2 linked regions of the Ovis aries genome follow. The protein of the gene in region 1 interacts with the protein of each later gene in a pairwise test. Links are inferred from orthologs where the notes say so. Each region holds a gene or a part of one and is shown on either strand. Other genes may lie near its edges.

What was found. The genes of interacting proteins can lie anywhere in the genome.
Region 2: the proteins of CLK3 (region 1) and 2'-5'-oligoadenylate synthase 2 interact in binary tests that used the Homo sapiens proteins (3 or more experiments, as listed by UniProt). The two-hybrid records come from large-scale screens. The link is inferred for Ovis aries from reciprocal best matches to the Homo sapiens genes CLK3 and OAS2.

What each region holds. Positions count from the first base shown.
Region 1 is NC_056071.1:31,713,775-31,717,108, reverse strand, and holds part of CLK3 (dual specificity protein kinase CLK3), read left to right. Parts: intron 1-503; coding exon 504-670; intron 671-1,882; coding exon 1,883-1,977; intron 1,978-2,073; coding exon 2,074-2,203; intron 2,204-2,452; coding exon 2,453-2,535; intron 2,536-3,072; coding exon 3,073-3,152; intron 3,153-3,304; coding exon 3,305-3,334. UniProt on the Homo sapiens protein: Dual specificity kinase acting on both serine/threonine and tyrosine-containing substrates. Phosphorylates serine- and arginine-rich (SR) proteins of the spliceosomal complex.
Region 2 is NC_056070.1:61,444,505-61,449,660, reverse strand, and holds the start of 2'-5'-oligoadenylate synthase 2, read left to right. Parts: upstream 1-1,850; 5' UTR 1,851-1,882; coding exon 1,883-2,059; intron 2,060-3,412; exon of another isoform or gene 3,413-3,489; intron 3,490-3,846; coding exon 3,847-4,123; intron 4,124-5,156.

The DNA.
Region 1 (3,334 bases):
CACCATGCCTTCTCCCAACAGCCAGAGCAAGGGGAGTCCGGTGAGTGAGTCTTGCTGGAAGGAACATCTGGGTTTCAGTCTAAGCTCCACTGCAACCAGCTCTCTGTTCTGAGGTGGCCTCCTTGCCCTGCATTTGTGAATTAGAGGCTTCACTGGGTTGTGGTGGGCATTAGACAAGATATAAACCCAAAACTGTTCAGGGTGCTCATGTAGTCAGAGATATCCGAAGGAGCACACAGACACGGAGCGTTCCCCTCCGCTAAGCACTGTGCTGAGCCCTGCAGACTCAGGAAGCTCGGCAGAGGGCACTTGTCCTGTGGAGTGGCCTGGTTATGCCATCTCTCTCTGAGAGCAGGGACTGTGCCCATAGTTTTCTCTTTGTGAATCTGCATCCTGTCTGTGACCCAGCATCCTGGGAGGGAGTGGGGACTGTCTTCACCTGAGGAAGCAGGTGGGCAGCCAGCCCCCAGCACAGACCCTGAGCCCCATCCGTCCTTCTCCAGCCTGTGCGTCTTGATGTCTGACTGGTTCAACTTCCACGGTCACATGTGCATCGCCTTTGAGCTCCTGGGCAAGAACACCTTTGAGTTCCTAAAGGAGAATAACTTCCAGCCTTACCCTCTACCACATGTCCGGCACATGGCCTACCAGCTCTGCCACGCCCTTAGATGTAAGTTCCCACCTCAAGTGGAGCAGGGGGAGCCTCCTGTCTGCAGCAGAGGCACCTGGTGGCCCTGCCCTCCCATCAGGTGCTCCAACACATTGCTGACTGTTCTGCTGGGCCCGAGACACTAGGGCCCCTTTGGTTGAAAGGCCTCCAAGTAGGAATCTGTGACGACGGAGAGGCTGCAGTCCCCTCCAGGGGCCTGCGGAGCTGGCCTCTGACCCCAGGCTCTCCGGAAGAGAAGGGAGAGAGCTGCTCTAGGATTAGCCCCGTACCATCCCCATGCCTACCTTCCTGCATAAGATGAAGAGGTCGCAGACTGACCTGGTAGATCCCACCCACAGATCCTGTCACACAGACACCATGTCTCACCATCATTTCCCGTCTGTCCGCCAGTCTCTTAAGGTGGTACCTGTGCTCAGTGCTGCAGGATTTGTAGTGGTTGAAACAGGTTGGAAAGGCTCACTGGAGAGAAGGTGGCTAGACCTAGAGCTAGACTAGCAGGGTCTGCATAGATGGCGGGACTGGGGAGAGCGTTCCAAGCCAGGTGAGCCACCCAGCGCTGGCACAGAGCCTGGCATGTGCTGCAGCTCACTGTGGTGAAGAGAGGGCCCATGTAAAGAGAGACGGGCTACACTGTCGGGGGGGTCGAGTGCCAGATGGAAAAAGTGATGAATGGCAGGGTACAACCATCGGTGGGACAGGGTTGGAGGGAAAAGGCAGACGTCCCCCTGCTCGGGGATGAGGGGAGAAAGGCAGGACTGGCTTCATTGTTTCATAGGGAGCCCTGTGCTTGGTTTAATGCTCTCCTACTACTATCTTTAGATTCTAAGTAACTTTTGAATAAGGAGACCTACATTTTCATTTTGCCTTGGGCCTTGCAAATTATGTAGCAGGTGCTTGGGAGAGGGAACCACCCCAAGACTGATCCTGCAGCTTTGGTGAGAGACCTGGTCCCCTGCAGACAGATGGAAGGAGGTTTTCTAAATGGAAGGCATCTCCCCTGCCCCCTCAAGAATTAGAACCCTCTGAGTTCATAAGTACAGAGAACCCTTGAGAGGGAAGCCCTGGCAGAGGCAGTGTGCCACTGCTGGGGTTAGGGGCTGAGGGCTCCAGCAGGCTGGCTCTGGAGGAGGGAGCTGGCCTAGCGCTGGCAGGCGGGCCAGAGAGGAAGCCCAGGTTTTCAGTGTCTGCTTCCCTCCTCTCCTGCTCCCCCAGTTCTACATGAGAACCAACTGACCCACACAGACTTGAAGCCAGAGAACATCCTATTTGTGAATTCTGAGTTTGAAACCCTCTACAATGAGCACAAGGTATTTATTGGTGGGGTAAAGATTGAGGCCCTGTTCTAGGAGTCGGTTACCTACCAGTGCAGACTTCTGACCTGGCTCCCCTTCCCTGCCCTTCAGAGCTGTGAGGAGAAGTCAGTGAAGAACACCAGCATCCGAGTGGCTGACTTCGGCAGTGCTACCTTTGACCATGAGCATCACACGACCATCGTGGCCACCCGTCACTATCGTCCACCTGAGGTGATCCTTGGTGAGTGACTGCAGCTCCGAGCCCAATAGAGCAGGCACTGTTTGGCAAGCTATGAAAACAGGGAGTGTGGTGCTTGTCCACACCTGGAGCCATGGCTTGAGTCTCTGTGGTTGTTGACTTGGTCTTAAGAAAGGGACTTCTACTGGGTTTGGGCCAGGAGTCTTGCCAGACAGCGTGGTAGCTGCCCTGTGACCTCTAGGCTGGGAGCACAGAGCTGAGTCTCATAGCCCACCCCATCTTGGCTTTCAGAGCTGGGCTGGGCACAGCCCTGCGATGTCTGGAGCATCGGCTGCATTCTCTTTGAGTACTACCGGGGCTTCACACTCTTCCAGGTAAGGCCTCTCCCTCATCACCCCTCAACCCTAAGCTGCAGAGGCCTGGTGTGGGAGGGACCCCCACCCACCCATCAGCATGCTGTGAGATTAGACTCCTGAGGGTTGTAGGTGCTTGGGAAGGAAGAGGTCAGTCAGGGTAGCTGGAACACTCAGGGACTCCTGCAGTCAGTCATCAGGGACGGAGAACTGGGGTGGGAGGAGTGTTCCAGGCAAGGGGCACAGCGTGAGTGAGGGCATGGAGGTGGGCCGGGGCAGGGCACTTTCTGGGGAGAGGGAGGAACTAGCCAGAATGAGTCCTCATGCAGCACACTGGAAGGGTCGAGAAGTCACCCTGAGGGAAGAGGCTGGCTTCCTCCCTGGTCCCAGGCTGCCACCACATCAGAAGGGCTGCGGCTGCTATCCCATTGGTGGGTTTGCACCTCCTGGGGCAGGGAGAAACCTTGACTGTCTTTCTTATCCCTTATTCTCCGAGGGACCTTGAGGGGGTGGAGGCTGTCATGATTCCCACTTGCTGTGTCCCTCACCCTTCCACAGACCCACGAGAACCGAGAGCATCTGGTGATGATGGAGAAGATCCTAGGGCCCATCCCATCACACATGATCCACCGGACAAGGTAAGGATGTGTCTCGGAGTGACCTGGCTGAGCTGTTGCCCAGACCTTCCTGCTGGGTCAGGCCAGGGTCCCCTGCCTTGCTTCGCTGCTCTTCTCTGCGCTGCTGCTCTTTCTGGCTTTAAGACTCCACCCTTCCTGTCTTTTGTTTTCAGGAAGCAGAAATATTTCTACAAGGGGGGCCT
Region 2 (5,156 bases), on another chromosome or scaffold:
CTCTTTTTTCTCTATAATGCAATATTCCTCTTCTTCCTTGGCTGGACTTGCCTATGGCTTTTTGCTATTGCCTGCTTGTCCTAAATTGAAATTCTTTACTGTTCCCAAACAAACCCATTTTGTTGGTAAAACAATCGTTGCTTTACTTTTGAGGTTAATAGAACCAATTGGTTTTATAAATCTAGATTTAGGGAAAAATTTGTTTTAAGGAATTGGCTGTGCCATTGAAGGGGCCAGTGAGTCCAAATTCTGCAGGGTAGGGTGGCCAGGATAGCTGGAAACAGAAAGAAGTATCTGCTTGTGGAATTGCCTCCTCCTCAGGGAGAGATCAGACCTTTTTCTTTTCATCCCTTCACCTGATTGGATGAGGCCCATCCACATTAGAGTGAATAATCTGCTTTCCCCAAAGTTTACAAATGGTGATCTCATCTTAAAAGTATATTGCAAAAAAAAAAAAAAAAATTCTAGAAGCATGTTTGACCAAATATCTGAGTACCTTGGTCATAGTCAAGTTGACATACGAAACTAGTCATCACAGGACTTTCCTGGTGGCCCAGTGGTTAAGAATCTGCCTGCCGATACAGAGGACAGAAGTTCAACCTCTGGTCACATGCCACAGAGGACAGAAGTTCAACCCACATGCCACAGAACAACTAAGCCCTGTGTGCCATGACTGCTGAGCCTGCATACCCTGGAGCCCGAACTCTGCAGCAAGAGAAGTCACGGTAATAAGAAGCCCGTGTACCCCGGCTGGAGAGTAGCCTCCACTCGCTGCACCTATAAAATGCCCGCTGACAGCAATGAAGACCCAGCGCAGCCAAAAACTACAGATAAGTAATCGCCATTTGAAAGATAATAATAACAAAATCAATCATCACAGCAGAGAAAGGGGGTCTGTTCCTGTCCCACCTTGGAGATGTTTGCCTTCTGCGTTACAGAGGGAGCCAGTGGGAGCTGCCCAGGAGTTTCGTTCTCATGGTCCTGGGCACAAGAGTTGGACTCCTGTCTCCTCCCTGGCCTGTGTGCTCCTGGGCATGTTTTCCTTCCTTGCTGGGGGTGGTTAAATGCTCGATGAAACCTGGCAGGTGTTCATGTGTGTGCTGAGGGACTGGGCACCCAGAAGCAGGCCTCTGGGGACCTGGGTTTGCTCAGGGGCAGAACTAAATTCCAAGTGGCTGAACCCTTGCCTTGCTGTGTGTCCCGAAACAAGTCAGGGCCCTCTCTGGTCTCTTCTCCTCACTGTTATCATCAACTCTGAATTCCCAAACCATTGGGAACAGGGGAAAGAGGAAGGAGCCTCAAAAGATGACCTCTGGGAAAATGATTTTTTACATTATATATATATATATGTAAATATAACTGAATCAGTTTGCTGAACTCCTGAAAACTAACACAATATTTTAAATCAGCTATACTTCAATTATTAAAAAAAAAAAAAACCACCTCTGGCCCCCTATGAAATTACTTGCTTTACAAACACTTTACAGCACTAGCCGTATACCAGGTCCTGTTCTAAGCACTTTGCAAGTATTTTAATCTTTGTATTAAGCCTGTGAGATAGGTACCACTGTTACCCCCATTTTACAGATGGGGAGATCAAGGTACAAAAAGGGCTGGCAGTGTGCTCAAAGACACAGACCTAACCCATATCAAGCCCTCATAATCCAGCTCAAGGGGCCATGTTTTTAACTACAAGCCTCCCTTGAGAGCAGCAGACAGGCTGGGGGCGAGGCCTGGGTTGGGCCAGAAGACTCTGAGTTTCCTTTTCCCCTGGTGTGAGTTTCGGTTTTCTCCCCTCTCCTCCCCCTGCACACAGAAGTTCCTTATTCTCCTCAGCCTCCCGCTCTGCCACTAGCTGTCATCTCAGCAGCCAGTCAGAGCCATGGGCAGCTGGGAGTCCCATCTCTATGAACAGCCTTCTGAGAAACTGGAGGAGTTTATCCAGAACTACCTGAGGCCCTCTGAAGACTGTCAGAAAGACATCGACCAGTCAGTGGACACCATCTGTGCAGTCCTGCAGGAACCCTGCCAGCCCCTCACCGTGACAGGGGTGGCCAAAGTGAGTAGATGGCTGGAGTCAGTGCTTCTGGGACCCAGGAGGCAGAAGGACGTGGTGCTGAGCACCTGCTGTGCTCTGGGCCCTGGGCGCGCAAGAATCACCTTGCCTAAGCCCATACTTGAGTGACATGATGGAACGGGGTGTAGAGTTTAGGGGTACAGGTTGGGAGAGCGCTGATTCTGCCCCTTACTGCTGTGTGACCCGGGGTAGGTTGCTTAACCTCTCTGTGCCTCAGTGTCCGAATGTGTAAAATGCGAGGGGAATAATAGTCAGTGCCAAGTGTTAAGAGGCTTAAACACAGAATGTTCTGGCAAGAACTTGGTACAAAGCCGCAGCAGTAAATTAGCTGTGGTTACTTATGTCATTTTTATCCTCCCCATTTTACAGATGAGTAAACTGGGCCTACAAGAGTTCAATAAAACTATTCAAGGATGTTCTGTGATTTCTCAACACTGAGGAGATGGGAAGCCTCATCAGTTAGACATGTTTGGTGCTCTGGCACAAACCCTAGGGTGGAGGCTGAAGATTCTAGAATTTTGAGAAAGAAATGATGCTGGGAAGCTGCCAGGACCCTAGGGTGGGGAGGGGATTATGTATGCCCGGCCCCACCCCCGTGCCCTTCAGCACCAGAATCGCACTTCTCCGCAGCCACGTGCTTTCTGGCCTCCGCCCTTACACACACCCACTAGCCCTAGGAGTAGACACCTGGACACATGGTGTCTCTACATGGTGTCTCCTGTCTTGGCCCAGATAAGGAAAATGAAGCGTGGGGAAGTTATCATTTGTTGGTATTCGACCTGGGATTTTAAGCTCAGGTAATCTATTTGGAAGGCCTTCCCTGGTGGCTCCATGGTAAAGAATCCACACTGAGGTGCAGGAGGCATGAGTTCGATCCCTGGGTCAGGAAGATCCCCTGGAGAAGGAAATGGCAGCCCACTCCAGTATTCTTGCCTGGGAAATCCCGTGGACAGAGGAGCCTGATGGGCAACAGTGGGTGGGGTTGCAGAATTGGATACGACTGAGCGACTAAAGGGGCTTCCCTAGTGACTAAACAATGGCGACAATTTGGGAGCGTGCACCCTTAACCACTGTGCAGTCCTACCTCTCAAATTTGTTAACTTTTTTCTCAGTAAAAAAAATATGTACAACAAGTGCACAGATCTGTGTACAGCTTGATGGATTGCCACAGACATACATGTGTGACCTATACCCAGATCAAGAAATAAAAGTTTCCCAGCCCCTACCCAAGAGTCCCTGGGTCCCTTGTCCAGTCATTACCCTCAACCCCAGCCAACCACTCTCCTGACTTCTAACAGCATAGATTAGTTTTGCCTGTTTTTAAACTTCGTATAGAGTGACCAACCTTCCGGGTTTGTCTGCGACTGAAGGGTTTTCTGGGACATGGACGTCTCGGGGCTAAAACTGAGCAGGTTGGTCTCCCTGTCTAAAAGGCATCGTGCGCTGCGCGGCTTTAACGTGTGGGCTTTGTTTTCGACGCATCGGTCGATGAAGCGCACGTCGTTGCGTGCAGCTGTTGTTTTCTCATTTTGTTGTTGCCGTGCATTCCGTTGTGTCTGCTCTCCTGCTGATGGTCATCCAAGTTGCCTTCTGTTTGGGGCTTGTGGGGGAAATGTTGCTGTGGGTGTCCTGATTCAGCTCTTTGGGTGGACAGATGAACACCAGACGTGTGGGACTTCTGCTCGAGTTGAGAAATACCTCTGCCTGTTGGGGTGCCCAGTGACCCCAGAGGGTTCAGACTTTCACATCTGCCTCTCTGTTGCTGATAGGGCGGCTCCTATGGCCGGAGAACGGTCTTGAGAGGCAACTCCGATGGTACCCTTGTCGTCTTCTTCCGGGACCTTGAGCAATTCCAGGACCAGGAAAAAAGACAATATGAACTCCTTGGCAAAATCTGGGCACAGATGAAGCACTGTGAGTCCACGCTGAATCTGGCAGCCAAGATGGAGCTCCAGAACACCAATAGGAGCTCCAGGGTCACTGTCCAGCTTTCCACAAAACAGCAGAGCATCACTTTCAACGTGCTGCCTGCCTTCAACCCTCTGGGTGAGCCCTCCTGGGTGTGCAGGGTGGTAGGCAGGGTTGGAGGTGTGGGTCTGGAAGGGCTTGTCAAGAGAACAAAGCCAATGAAAGGGGTGGTGGATAGCATGGGGATGGAATAAATACCACTGAAAGTGAAAAGAAAGTGAAAGTGCTAATCACTCAGTTGTGTCCGATTCTTTGTGACCCCATGGACTGTAACCTGCCAGGCTCCTCTATCCATGGAATTCTCCAGGCAAGAATACTGGAGTGGGTTGCCATTCTCTTCTCCAAGGGATCTTCCCCAGCCAGGGATCAAACCCTCGTCTCCTGCAGTGCAGGCGTGTTCTTTACTGTTCTTTACTGTTCTTTACTTTAAGCTGCCAGGGAAGACTTTCAAGAGAGAAGACCTCTCCTACCTTGAGCATACTCTGGTCTTTAGGACCTCTCCTTTAACTCCTAACTGATTTTGGAGGAAATGTTCTAGACTCTAGAACCTAGAGTTCCTCAAACTGTGATATGCACACAAATCCCCTGAGAAACTTATTAAAATGATGGCTCTGATTCAAGAGATTGGGGTCCAGAATTCTGTATTTTCAACCAGCTTCATGGTGGTTGCTGCCTTTCTGCGGACCACAGTGAAGATGTAAACTAGAATAAACTTTGGCCAGAGGTAGAGGATGGGGAAAACCTCTGAGAAAAGTTCAGCTAGAGCAGGTTTGCAGTTGCCCTCTAATCATCAAGGCAAGGATCTTCCATGGGCAACAGTTTGAATGGATCAATGGTTGGATGGAAGGATGGTTGACTGGATGGATGGATGGATGGATGGATGGATAGATGGTTGACTGGATGAATGGATGAGAGGATGGTTGACTGGATGGATGGATGGATGGATGGATGGATGAATGGATGAATGGATGAATGGATGAGAGGATGGTTGACTGGGTGGATGGATGGATGGATGAGAAGATGGTTGACTGGGTGGATGGATGGATGGTTGACTGGATGGATGGATGGATGGATGGATGGATGGTTGACTGGGTGGATGAGTGGATGGTTG